Drosophila melanogaster: one gene and its partners. The protein of the gene in region 1 interacts with the protein of each later gene in a biochemical or structural test. Each region holds a gene or a part of one and is shown in the gene's direction. Other genes may lie near its edges.

Region 1 (4,893 bases):
TGTACCGACCGCCCGAGGAGGGAGAGGAACCGCGTCGTCCATCCGCTCGACAAACGGCGTCCCAAAGTCGTCGTAATGCTTTGGGCCAGACCACGGAGGGCGGCCAACACGATGCACAGAACGATGCTCCGCCAAAGTACACACCACCTCCGTCCTACACAACGGCCACTGGAGCCCGCCTTGCCAAGCTTCTGCGCCAGAGCATTCGCCGCAGCGTAAGAAGGTACATAAAAACCATCCCTTAATATAAACAAAAAGTTATTTACGACCAATTTATCGACACAGGGTTCTCGGAGACTCAAGTCGAACGCGACCCGTGCTCTCCCTCGATGCGGAGTCTGCTTCGCCAGCGGCGCCGCCTGATTACCTAACCATACTGACCAATCCGGCTGGCAGTAGTTTCAACGCGGATCCTTCGCCAGCTTCCAGCAGCAGTCCCGAGTCCATAGAGATCGACCAGCGACCCGTTGGCTACTCCCAACGCTCGCAATCGTTGGGCAGGAAACTGCATCGTTCGGGTGCTTCGACACTGGAGAGGCGGCCCTATACGGCGGAGGATGTGGTGACCATACTGCGCTCCTCGGTGCGACATCGCCAGTCGCAGGGAGGCGGAAATTTGGTCACTGCCAGCACCCTGCCTCGCCCCCCAACCGCCGCCATGTCCACGCACTTGGAGGACGCCTCATTCCGATCCATAGAGAATCTTGTGCTGAATGCCGAGCCACCGGACAGAACGCCCGGTGTGGAGCTGGAGCTCGAATTGGAGGCTGGACAGGCGGAGGAGTGCGCGCGAAATAATACATCTGTGATTTAACTGACTAATATCGTACCGTACATAGCGTAACTCTTATGCGATCCACATATCCGCTTGCTTTCTTAGACTTGATTAGCGCTAGTTATCTAAATACGAATATTACCTTGTAGTTATGCGAATAATAACGAAAACAACTAGTTGGTACTCCCAAGTGTGAGCTCTTTTGATCCCTACAACCGGTATTCCCAGTTCGATCCAACCCACCCCATTTAATTCCATTTCACATATATTTTAGGCTTACGGATCGCGCCTGTCTGCACAGTTGCCCTTAAAATTATCCCAACAATGGAGTAGGCCTCCTACGTGCCCAGCTCTCGAGGGTCAGCTATTTAAGGGAATACGTACTTGGGCCCTAAGCCGATTAACAAACGTGACCAGTTGAATAAAAAAAGTGAAAATAAACGGAAGTCCAGGATGGCGTAGCCAACAAAGGCGCCTAATGAGGCGGGCCAGGAAGTTGCTGCATATTTCGATTAAAATGTCACGCCATTTCTTTTGTTTTCTTTGTGACTTGCATATTCCAAAGGGATTGGCCTGCAAAAAAGTTAATCCGCGGAATTTTTAAATCAGCACGAATTGGCGGTTATTATTTTAATATCTGGCAGCGCTGGTTCAAAGAACCAGTTCAAATGGGTTGAGTCTCGGCTAGAACTTTTGTGAAGTTCACACAATAATTGATACCGTTATTTTTACTTATAATTAGTAATTTTAATGCTAGAAATACATAAATAACAATTGAGACCTATATAAAAGCAAGTGATAAGGGTTCTTATACAAGCCAATGTGTGTAGTACAACTACTCTATAATTTGGGATGATAGTTATAAAGTTTTAAATAAATATATATTTTCATGAAAATATTATCAACACTTTAATAATGAACGAGTTTTTGGACCCTTATTAACCATAATATTTGAAATTTAAGTTGGAACAAGAAACTTTTAAACTGTTGGCGAACGCGGTATTTTTTAGGCCCTTCTTGCCGGGTGAGGTTACTCCTGCATCTGGTAACACTGCTCGGCAGCGAAACAGAAACATAAAAAATTCGAACGGCGACGAGAGCGGTCAGACGCACGCATCACTTTCAATCGCGTCGCGTAGAGCGTCCAAAAAGAATTATAGTATAAACCAAGAGTGAAGATTCCGGTGAGCAAAGAATTTGCAATTGCCAAACTTAAGCAAAAACCATAAAGTGTGCATTGGCAATTGAAGTCGCGCGTTCTTAGCCAATCCACATTTGCACGGCCATTTTAAAGCCAAGTTAAGGCCAAAGTTTTCTGCCGCGCCGTCTTCGTAAGTCGCAGGTCGAAAAGTGCTCAAACGAGATTTCCACTTGAAATTCCTGAATTTCGTTTGTCTGCGCGAATCGCATCGAATCGAATTGAAGCACAAATCGCAGCAGCAGAAAAGCGCAAAAGTCGAATTTAAATTCCGTCTGCAAAGTGCCGAAAATTAGTGTCTTTGTTGTGTTAGTGTTTTGTTTCTTTGTCTGTGTGGGTGTTACGATTACGATTGGATTAGCGGTGTTTTCGCCTGATTAAAACGGTAAGTGTCCTTGCGATAATCCTGCGTGCAAAGTTAGTTAGCTGGTGCCAAGTTCGCTCGCCACTCACACACCTCCACCGCCGCCACTCACAACTTATTTTGCTGCAATTTGCTCTAGTGTTTTGTATTAGCATTTTTATGTCCCGCCTCGCCAAAGTTGACAAACAAAAACGTACACACACACACATACACGCACCGACACGTAAGCACACGCACACAAAGGATTTCATTACATTTTGGGTGGGACGTAACGGTAACGTTGAAGTGTAACGTATAACCCTCCCCTCGTTCTATCTCTTTCCCGCCCAAAGCCCCGAATGCTGTGCTACCGAATTTGTTTTCGCCTTCGCTCAGTTCTGTTTTCTCCTGTTTTTATTTATTTTGATGGCGTATTTTGCCATTCCGCTTTGTTCGTATTGCGTATCCTGTCGCCTGCGCTATCCTTCTACAGTCGCATCTGGCTAGAAGGAACTATCGTGTGCCTCAGTCACATGAAAAATATTACACTTACGTAGGTGATTTGATTTTTAAATGTATAAAGTCCCCTTCAAATTGCTAATTGAAAAATATATAAGTTCATGTACATAATCTTATTATGTCATCAATTAGAACCACAACATCTTTGGTTTCCCATTAGTATTTATAGTAACATTTTCTGAGCCCAGGGTATTCTGGTTTCACTGTACATTTTTCGCTGTCAGCTTTTCTTCCTAGTTTCTGCCAGCATTGAAATGAGTTCGCAATAAATATTGCCCAATGTCAAATAAAAGGGCGATGAGCCAGCCTTTTTCCGCCATGGCCCCTTTCCACCTCGGCCTATCTCCTCCATTCGCTCTAATCTCGGGGGACACTAATGCTTTACGACAATTCCTATGCCGTATGCCGCCCAGTACAAACTTAATGCACACATCAATGGCAAATTAGATATACTCCACAGCAAATGTACTAATAACAATCATCGAGTGCGTGTGCGGGCGGGCTTCCGATTCATCCCATACCATACCATACCATACGATACGATACCATCCCGAACCATTCCATCCCACACATACGTCCTCTCAAGACGATTGTTTTGTTGATTTGGCTGTTACTTCCAATACATTGGCATTTAAGGGGCAGAATTGGGATCCACTTATGTGCCTGCCTTATGTCTCATTTGTCGTCGGGCAAATGGAAATCGTTTTGTTTTTGCCTTGTCAAGTGACAAATTTTCATTGTCTCCCGCCACTAATCGCTTACTTAAAACAAAAAAAAAAACCAAAAAAATGAAGAAGATACCACGCCAAAGACTCCAAACAAGAAATAAGACAAGTGTAAATAAACACTTGAGGAGGAGGGAGCGTGGGATCGGGAGTCACGACTAACCGATATCCTCTGTACAGTGTGGGCGGGGGCATATACGCAATGACATTATCATAAAAGGTGCACATGCCAGAAGTTAAGTCGCGACAACTTTCCGTTATAACTTTCAATAACCTTTGTTGTTTGCTCCAATAAAAGCATTTTAATCGATACTCTTGACTTGTGTCAATCCATTCGGATTTGTTTTTGGTTACTAATGGATGTAATGTATGAAGTTATTGGGGCGGCATAAATTAAGAACTTATTTCCTTTGTGGATTTCACGTTACTAAACAGATGGTGATGTGACGCAAATGAAGTCCTAACAAAAGGATATTTATATATATGGTATTCTTTCGCCTAGCTATTTACCTGTATTTTCATATTTATAAAAATACTAAAAGGCCATTCATATTTTATATGGCGTGTGGTCTAATTACTTATTTTTATGACCTAGAGAAGCAAAGATTATAAATTAGCCGTTAAACATTCCTTTCCTCCATCGTACATACCTTTCGATACCCTGTAAATTCCAGTGTATGTACTTAGAGTACGCACACGTACTTGCCTCTTTTGGTGGCATTGCCCGCGGCACCTTCACTTGGCGCAGCTTGCCTTAATTTCCAGCGGACAAACCACTTTGTTATCGCCACGCCGAGGGCCCTTTAATCTCTGGTAGTCCCTGGTTGGCTGGTCAGACCCACCTCCATCTCCGTCGCCTGCCCATTGATTTACGTCTCTATTTTCCAAATGTAGCGCAATCGATTTAGATTGATTTTGTTTAAACAAACTGCACAGCGCAGCAGAAGCAGCAGCATAAAAGGCACCAGAAAGTGTAATAAATAATTGGAAACGGAATCGTTGGGCTGATTTTAATGCCAGCGTTAATTGCGAGAGCCACCCAATTTCATTTCCATTTCCATGCCCAATCGAAATCCAAATGCCATTCCCCAACCCTCCCCATACCTTCAACATTTTCATGCCGATGTAGCGATGCCCTAGGCCAATTCCAAATCCAAATCCAATTCCTATTCCTATTCCTATTCCATCGATGCTTTGGTAATTAGTTGTGAATTGGATTGGGGATCACATAAAAGTGTTGATTACACACTCCGATGGCTGCGCCCCCAGCCACGCCCCCTTCCCGGCTGGGTGCCAAGTGTTTTGTTTGTGTTTATCTCGTCTTCGACGTGTC
Region 2 (4,794 bases), on another chromosome or scaffold:
AGCCTAGATAACTCAGAGTGCAGTCCAGTGTTGCCAAACTTCTTGGCCCTCTGTTTTGGTAAGGTCATGGGTTGGCAGGTTTAATCGGGCCAGCTTAAGGAGTAAATATTTTGGGTGTTGCGGGCATAGATCAAAAATCCATGCTTGAATCCATCGGATAGTTAGCACATTGGATTTACTTTGGTAAGGTAAAGGACATAAGGTATCTATATATTATATATTATCGTATATACTTGCAGCGTTGCCCAACTTCACTTGAGTGCTAATGAAGCGTGGCAACCGGGCTCAGATATCTCGCCTTTCAAGCAGAGCAACTCGCCCTGGCTGTAAATTGGCCAATTATCAGCATTTGAAATATGGTTTACCTGCCACGAATTCTCTCTTTCCTCTACCTGGATTCTTCGCCTCTATAAAAGGTGAGCGGCAGTGGGAATCGGGATTCGAGAGTCGGGATCGGAGAATCGAAGAAACGAGGGACTTGAGAAGGCAACAAACTCACATACGCCGTACGCACTTTGACCTTTCTTTCTCGCAGAGACAATGCACATTGTGTTGCACTCTGAAAAGGGGAAGTGGAGGGGGAAAGGGAATCCACACCTGCCCGCTCCTAAATGCACGCATAGTTCCTTTATAGGAAAGATACACACCTTTATTTTACACTTCTCTGCCCGTCGAATGTATCTGTATCTGTATTTTCTGAGCACCGGCATTAATGAACTGACTTCACACTCGTCCGAAGAACTCTACCTGGAGGAAAAGTTATTGATTATTTAACAAACGCTGGGAAATTAGGCAGCGATTTATAGAGGAAAGCCCTTTCGGATATGCACTTTGATAAATTAATACAATATCGTCTAGCTGGCCATTCAATTGATTTCGAAATTCATTAGCGCGCAGAGGCGTCTAGATATTGGGACAGTGTCCAAGAACGGGTCTCCACTTTGATTTCTATTCATCGCATTGTGAAACGGATCGTCTAGAACTGTGTCTGGCTTTATTGCAGTTTGGAAATAGATGAGCTAACAGCTGGAGAGTGAGTGGGGCACTCGAGCAGATTAGATATGAAATGGTCGCCCCTTTGGAGGGGCTCTTTCGACTCTCTGCGCCGGCGAAGGGTTGAGCGGACACGGTGGAGCTGGAGGGCAATAAAGCGCAACAAGTAGGGATTATCCGAGCTCGAAATGTTTTCGGATTCGGATGGAAACTATTGAGGCTGAGCGGCACAAAGGTTGGCAATTTGTTGGCTTGACAACGTGAAAAAGAGCTTGAATGATCGAATAAAAATGGAAAAGAGCTGGAGATAAACAAGTTGGACTTGGAAATGGATGTGGCATGGTGTTAAAGTCCGTTTGAATGTAGATTTTTTTGTATTAGCAAATGATGCAGATTATTCATAAAAAAAGCCAATAAATACATGACTATGTGTTGTGCTGCAAAGAAATCCCCATCTAGTCCTGGAAGTCAGATACATATTCCAACAATTCACATCCACTCAATAGCAACATGATGATGCACCACCACCCGAAATGTTGCACGACTCGACGATAAACCTAGGGCACGTGGATCGAAACGAGTGAAGACGGAACAAAACAAACCGTCTTGCAGTAAAAGTAAACAAAGTTCCAACGCGTTCCACAGCATGCAACAAGCGGGACGAACTGGAACGCGGAACAGCGCACGAAGCGATACAGATACTAGATGGTACTCGGATACACAGACACGAAGCAGTAGCCGAAGTGGACTTCGGGTGGCGGCTCCGAGGCGAAACGAGAATTCGTTCCTCAGTCGCATTTCGATTGTCAGCCGGTTCGCATGTGCTGCGGATGCAGATACAGTCCATATATCCGTATCCGTTCGATTCGTCGGGTTACGCGCGTCGTCGTTCCGGGAAACGGACTTAGTGGCGCCGCCATGGATTCAGATGCTAGCGAATAACTAACTCGGAGGAACAGAAATACTGTGTGTGCCAAAACAGAAGATCCGAAAGATTGCGCGTATCGAGAAATGAGTGCAAATCTATTTTAAATGGTGTGCAATTAAGGAGGCGAAACGAGAATACTTGACAAAATGCATTTGTGCGAGATGCGTGGAATGCCGCTGCGGTTGCAACCTCAGTGTTTAACCAACGAAAGCGAAATTCAAATTAAAATCAAAAGCAAAATCAAAAATAAAACTGCCAGCGAGATCAAACGCCGACACAGAAACAATCGAGATTTTCATGGGGAGCGGCTAAAAATAATGCCAGTCGATCGGAGTCGACGCGCAGTATTCCCACTGCTGCTGCTCCTCGCGGGATTAAACGGATTAACTCAAGTCGGAGCGCTCAAGGGTAAGTGTCAACAGATGCAAGATGCGTCCATCTCCAGAGTTGCATTCGCAGGGTTGCATTGTGGGATCTCTGTTTTAGTTTGAAGGGCATTATGACAAACTATTTCCTCCCAGAGCCAGGGAAAATCCTTCGCGGCCGCATATGAGTTGCCTCCTCATGTCGCTGCACTCCCCATTTATTTATTAGCGTCATTTGTTTCCATTTACGTTTTTTTGTTGGTCGACTCCGTCTTTTGGCTATTTTTGGTTGCAACACACGCGGCCCGACCGAACAACAAAGTGAAATTAAGGCACTGCGGTTTATTTATGCCTGCAACGTTCGCTAATGGATTTTAAGGCCGCTTTATAGACAACGCGACATCGACTCTGCCCATAGACCCATTATTCATGCCTCTCTCTCCCGATTCTCATTAGAGATGCACATAATGGGGCGACTTTTGGATGGGCATAGCTGGATGTTTGGGCTTTGGCAGGGCATTGCAATCGGTATCGTAATTCCAGAGATCTCTCAGAAGTTCTCTGCAGGTTAGGGAAGGTTAAGAAGTATCTATTAGTATGGATACTTTTAAGAACAATGCTGCTAATTCCTCATTATTCCTTATCACCACATAACGAACACCAAAAAACAAATGCTAACCCACTGAACCCACTTAGGGATCACATTTGGGAAAACTAAATACAACTTCCAAAGAATACACAGATCGTATTACACATCGAACCCGAGAAAAGTGAAAAAAAAATGCATATGTGGAAACTCAGTTGGATGAGGGTAAATCGAAACACAGAAATTGTAAACCCCTTAGGGAGGATCTCGGGAAAGATCACTAACCAAAACCAAAACCGAACTTTAGATAAATGAGTAATGAGTTCGAAAGACTAATCAACCGAGTGTAGTTTCCCGCTCCAATCTCGCAACTGATTACAGGAAAATCAAACAAAGAATCGAGTTTGTGGCTTTTGTGGTCGAGATGGCAAGTTCAAAAAGAAAACTAAAGCGAAATGGTTTGAGGTTGGCGGTTTAAGGAATGGGAGTTAAGCAACGCTTTTAAATTAGACCCTTTGGCGATTTCATGGCTCTATACCTCCGCCGATAAAACATATATCTAAATGAGCTTAAGTCGTCACACCCCTTGCAACGCTGAGAATGTTGTAATCTAATGCTTATTAAACGCTTTTTAATGCCAAACCAACGACGCCCAGTCCACTGATATCGTCCATGGACACACGCAACTCGGATTCGGATTGGGATTGGGATTTTTGAATTCGGATTTCAGTAAACACTTGAACACGCAACCTGAGGCTGTGTGTTGCAGCACCAAGTATCTGTATCTCAGTGTCCCCATCCCGAAATGGCCGATGTGACGTGGCAAGTGTTGCACGCGACGTCGCCCGTTTGATATAATAAATTGTATAAAATTATCTGCACCGGCACACGACAGGATTTTGTTCCTCACTTCTGGTGGTGTGTGACCAGCGAGATCCAGTTAGCAGCCCAGCTTTTGGGTGGTGGGTCAATCGCAGTCGGCTTGAGAATCTGTCGGGGTCATAAAAATTATCGCCCTCAACACAAAGTTGCAGGGTTGACAGCCTTGGCAACCTTCTAATGCCACTCTGGGGAGCGTTTTTCCAGCTAACTGGACTGACTGCACTTCTTTCTGTTTTTTTTTTTTTTTTTTTCGTTTTGACTCCGGGGGTGGCAGTCTATCCTTTCCTTTGTCTTGGCCGTTTATGTTGGCATTTTTTGTGTTTTTGTGTTTTTTTTTTTTGGGTGCCCGCCTGGCAAAAGCCTTTCGGCTCTTGTGCAATTTTCTCATGTGCATTATGCGAAAATTGGGCTAAGTAGCGGTCTCTGGCTTAGTTTTCCTACTTTCCCGGGCGAAAGAAATGAAGTCAAGTGCTGTGGCAGCTCCGTAGCATGTTATTTGTTCAATCACATGATTGCCCTACCAATCGCCCGGCACTCAACGAGATCTCCCATTTGCTCCCAGCTGCAGGCTAGATAATGAGGGGTCTTATGGGATAGTATCCATGCCATAGCTAGCACCGATACGTTGGCACACAGTTTGGGGCAGGAATGTGATTGAAAGTCGGGCCAATGTGGGTGGAGGTGTTGCAAGTCGACTGGCGAAAGGTCTAGCGGATAGCGACGTACTTCTAGGAATATTCGAAAATACGGACTAGGACGGGAGTGATAGGTTTTCAGTAATATGTAGTTTTACTTCTAATAAAAAAATCAATTTGGATCGAATTCCTTAGAAAACACATAGCCACTCCTTGGGGAAAAGTATTTACTTCTAATTGCAACTAGCCGTGGCTTCAGTACGCCTTTCCTAAGAGCATTCGATCTCCAGTCGACTATTTGCCAGCCAAACAATAATTAATTATTTAAAACAACAGGCTTACGACGACGGCCAGAACCCAGAACGCAGAGCCCAGAGAGACATCGGTCTGGAAGTCTGGAAGTTT
Region 3 (4,922 bases), 6.8 Mb from region 1:
CCTCGTCCTCGATCTTCGTCCTCGTCCTGGCGATGCATACAGTTGCGCACAGTTCGCTTGAGCTCCGCTTCACTTAGTCCCTCCTGGGATCTGCATTTCAGTGCGTAAATGGAGCAGGTGCCGCAGCTCAAACAAATCAGCAGGAAAATCAACTGTTTCATCTTGGGAACTGAATGGAGGAGCAGCTATGCCCACATCATTTATAGTTCTGGAGAATGGCATCCAAATTACAGAGTGACTGACGCACAATGAACCAAGACACATATCAATCTTAATTTTACAATTGCGTGCAATGCTCTTCGATGATTATATTTTACAATAAAGGTTATTTTAAAAGTTTATGAAAACATGTTAAATTGAACCCCACTTCCAGATGCAACTACAGCTGGAGCAGATCACCTCCAGAGGTGAAGCTCGATTGGAGAAGCTGTGGCAGGAGTATCAGGGTGTTCTGGCGGGCTACTGTCAGCACATCGAAGGCTTTTACTCGGAGTACGTGGATCTGAAGCAGCGGGATGAGGAGGCAGCCCTCCAGATTAGCCAGCAGACCCACGAAATCGAGCACCTGGTAGACCAGCTGACCAATTTGCGTCTGGTCTCCGAGGAGTTCTACATCAAGCAACAGGGCCAACTGGAGCAGCGGCAAGCCATCAAACAGCAGTTGACCGAGCGACTAAGGGAGCTACGCACCTGTGTGGAACAGGAGGTGGCCAGGGATCACCAGTTGTTCAAGCTGATGTCCGTGGAGAGCTACCATGCCTTGGAATTCCTCCAGGAAACTGTGGCCAAGGGCGAGACTCTGGCACAGTTGTCTGCGGTCTGTGCCAAGATGGAAACCCAGCGGGAGCGGATGTTCCAGTTGCCGGAAATATCCAAGGAGATTATCGAGATTCGAGATATAGAGGATCAGGGTAATGGTTCCTTGACTGACCCAGCCACTGATCTTCTTAAGGTGAGTAAAAATGCCAGTAGGTAATTTCTTCATTCAACATTGGTTTAACGTACCAGGACGAGGTGGCAGTGGTACCCCAAATGGAGTCCTTCTGGCGACGCGTCAACAACGTGGCCGTGGACGTGGCCTGCCTGAAGCAACAGAAGCGTCGCCTGGAGGCGGAGAACAGCCAGCTAAAGACGCAGCTGCAGGACTACCTGGTAAATTTGAACATTGCCAATGGCTCCAATAGCCACGTCCATAGCTATCTAGCCCGGCGGCCCAAGAGCATGTCCGTGGACAGAGTGTCGCGCCTGCAGCTCCAGCCCAAGCTGGTGAAGAGTGCCCAGCCGACTGGTCGTCGCCCAGCGGCGCCCACACCTCCCACTTTCCACTTGCATCCAGGACGCAGCCGAGCGCCTGCCTTCGAAGCCAACCTCTCCAACGTGGTTCTTTCGAGGACTTTGGCTAGGGGAAAGATGAACCTGGCCAGAATGGAATAATTTGCTAGACTCTGTAGTTATTTGATTAATGCAGGGAAACTATATTAAACAAAACACCTTAAATTGGTGTAGGAACTATTCTCTACCATAACAATTATCTATATATTTTTATAGTATTTTACAGTTGGTTCTACCGTGAACATGAATATTAATATATACGTATTTAAGCAATCACACACAAATTATATAGATATTCTGAATAAAACGGAATTTTTTAATAAACCATTCAACATCACAATACATACATTAATTTAAATATTTACATTTTATTAATATCTTAAAACATAGTTGGTATATCTTTCGATTTCAATTTCAATACAATAGAAATCAATTAAAGATTCAAATAGTTACTTTACGCGGCGCTACCAGATCAACTGATAAATATGTCCTCTGGTATTTTCGAGTATTCCTTTTCGGTACACCCCAAAATATATCGATATATCGATTCCGGGCGTTGCGCTCTCAAATTTCCACAGACACGACCCACGTCCAATTGTGAGTTTTCGCTGCGCCGTGAATCGCACTAAAGAGCAGGAAAATAGTTAATTTCCAACAGTTAAATTGGAGTAAGTTTGCACCCAAGAAAGTACGATCCAACCGCGAAGCTTCCATTTGAAGTAGATACTCGTTTTCGGATATTACAAAGTGCAGCTGCTGCGGATGTAAAGCAAATATTACAAGGAGTTATAGATACAACACTCTGTTATAGATATAGATACAACAACAACGGGGGGAAGTCCCAGGAACGGCAGGCGGTGCGAGCGAGAGGCAGCTAGAACGGCAGTGTGTGCGAGTGAGAGGGGTGGCGGGGCAGTTCTTGTTCTTGTAATTTTACCAAAAAGAAATTTCGTTCGGGAAATGTGGAAAATGTGCGCGAGGAGAGATGATGGAGAAAACAACCCCGAAAAGCGAGCAATCGTCGAATAAATACCAACAAAAACTTACACTGCGCGGCTGATTAATAAAATCCAAAAAATAAAAAGGAAAATAAAAACCAAATCAGCGAACGATACAAAAAAAGCGTTAGAAAGAAAGTGTGAGAACGTGAAATCAAAACTCCGAATCAGAATTTGGATTGTAAATTTTCGGGTCGGTGCGACTGAGACTGAGCGATAAACACAAAGGCAGATAAATACGGAAATAAAATTAATGGAAAACCAGCATAGACACATGTGTGTGGGTGTGTGAGTGTCCAAGTGTGCGTGAGTGTGTGCGTGTGTGTGTGCTTATCGCATGGAAATGCAAGCGTAAGTGGAGCAGGCGAGAAATAATTTCGAGTTTTTGGACAGATAAAAAGCAAAAAGCAAGTAAAGCCCATAAATGCCTAGCCATAATGCCGCCACGCCTACATATGTAACAGCTGCCCACATTTAGTTAACCCACATACTATCACCTATCATGCATCGCAGGACCCAAAAACAACGCCAAAATGATCGCCGCTGCATTGGGTCATCTGTAGAGTCGTCATTGCAACAGCACCAACACCATAAAATGCATCCCATGCATCCCGAAAACCACGCCATCGCCCGGAGCACGAGCACCACTAATAACCCATCTCGCAGTCGGAGCAGCAGGATGTGGCTCCTGCCCGCCTGGCTGCTCCTCGTCCTGGTGGCCAGCAATGGCCTGCCAGCAGTCAGAGGTAAACCCATCCTGGGTAATCCTCCCCAGGCCCAGTGGCTAATCCACATCCTTCCTACTCCTTTCAGGCCAGTACCAATCGCCACGTATCATCGAGCATCCCACGGATCTGGTCGTTAAGAAGAATGAACCCGCCACGCTCAACTGCAAAGTGGAGGGCAAGCCGGAACCCACCATTGAGTGGTTTAAGGTACCCACCAAATAATACTTTTCTAACTTGAATCACCATTACACTGGCAAAAGAAAACTTGATCTTAATGTTTTCATATCAATATTGTATATTTATTTATCTTTAAATATCAAAACAAAAATGAATTCAAAAATTATACAAAATATAAGTGGTTTTGAGTAGTTGTTTTTTTCCGTGTAGCCTTCGAAACCGAACCAAATCGTAACTCAATCACCCCCTCTTCTTTCCGCTCTCAGGATGGCGAACCCGTCAGCACCAACGAAAAGAAATCGCACCGCGTCCAGTTCAAGGACGGCGCCCTCTTCTTCTACAGGACAATGCAGGGCAAGAAGGAACAGGACGGCGGAGAGTACTGGTGCGTGGCCAAGAACCGAGTGGGCCAGGCCGTTAGTCGCCATGCCTCGCTCCAGATAGCTGGTAAGTTAGTCCGCCACTCTAGTCTGCTCTCCAACTTGTCTGCCCACACGCCCAGCTTTGTCTCCGATTATAATGTGCTTTTTTGATATTTTTGCAATTTTTCTTCGCTAGTTTTGCGCGACGATTTTCGCGTGGAGCCCAAAGACACGCGAGTGGCCAAAGGCGAGACGGCTCTGCTGGAGTGTGGGCCGCCCAAAGGCATTCCAGAGCCAACGCTGATTTGGATAAAGGTGGGTTCCGAAAACCAGACTGCGAAAGTCAGTTGTCTAAACCGCTTTTTGTGCTCTTAGGACGGCGTTCCCTTGGACGACCTGAAAGCCATGTCGTTTGGCGCCAGCTCCCGCGTTCGAATTGTGGACGGTGGCAACCTGCTGATCAGCAATGTGGAGCCCATTGATGAGGGCAACTACAAGTGCATTGCCCAGAATCTGGTAGGCACCCGCGAGAGCAGCTATGCCAAGCTGATTGTCCAGGTCAAACCATACTTTATGAAGGAGCCCAAGGATCAGGTGATGCTCTACGGCCAGACAGCCACTTTCCACTGCTCAGTGGGCGGTGATCCGCCGCCGAAAGTGTTGTGGAAAAAGGAGGAGGGCAATATTCCGGTGTCCAGAGCGCGAATCCTTCACGACGAGAAAAGTTTAGAGATATCCAACATAACGCCCACCGATGAGGGCACCTATGTCTGCGAGGCACACAACAATGTCGGTCAGATCAGCGCTAGGGCTTCTCTTATAGTCCATGGTAAGATTAAGTTCCATTACCAAAGAATCGCGTTTTAATCTTCAATTGTTTTCATTAAAGCTCCGCCGAACTTTACGAAAAGACCCAGTAACAAGAAAGTGGGACTAAATGGTGTTGTCCAACTACCTTGCATGGCCTCCGGAAACCCACCGCCATCTGTTTTCTGGACCAAGGAAGGAGTATCCACTCTCATGTTCCCAAATAGTTCGCACGGGAGGCAGCATGTGGCTGCCGATGGAACTCTGCAGATTACGGATGTGCGGCAGGAAGACGAAGGCTACTATGTGTGTTCCGCTTTCAGTGTAGTCGATTCCTCTACAGTACGGGTTTTCCTGCAAGTCAGCTCGTTAGACGAGCGTCCACCTCCGATTATTCAAATCGGACCTGCCAATCAAACACTGCCCAAGGGATCAGTTGCTACTTTACCCTGTCGGGCCACCGGAAATCCCAGTCCCCGTATTAAGTGGTTCCACGATGGACATGCCGTACAAGCGGG

Evidence for each region.
Region 2: the proteins of sli (region 1) and robo2 form a complex in vitro, tested with the Drosophila melanogaster proteins (2 studies listed by BioGRID).
Region 3: the proteins of sli (region 1) and robo1 form a complex in vitro, tested with the Drosophila melanogaster proteins (2 studies listed by BioGRID).

Annotation. Positions count from the first base shown.
Region 1 is NT_033778.4:15,919,104-15,923,996, reverse strand, and holds the start of sli (slit), read left to right. Parts: upstream 1-1,878; 5' UTR 1,879-2,358; intron 2,359-4,893. Other genes in the region: bdg (bedraggled), read left to right, coding at 1-223, 286-814.
Region 2 is NT_033779.5:1,417,439-1,422,232, reverse strand, and holds the start of robo2 (roundabout 2), read left to right. Parts: upstream 1-1,779; 5' UTR 1,780-2,067; coding exon 2,068-2,329; intron 2,330-4,794.
Region 3 is NT_033778.4:22,697,956-22,702,877, reverse strand, and holds the start of robo1 (roundabout 1), read left to right. Parts: upstream 1-1,907; 5' UTR 1,908-2,000; intron 2,001-2,282; exon of another isoform or gene 2,283-2,681; intron 2,682-2,843; 5' UTR 2,844-2,925; coding exon 2,926-3,076; intron 3,077-3,143; coding exon 3,144-3,265; intron 3,266-3,501; coding exon 3,502-3,682; intron 3,683-3,793; coding exon 3,794-3,912; intron 3,913-3,972; coding exon 3,973-4,426; intron 4,427-4,486; coding exon 4,487-4,922. Other genes in the region: Obp59a (Odorant-binding protein 59a), read right to left, coding at 1-161; CG30259 (uncharacterized protein), read left to right, coding at 374-952, 1,009-1,434.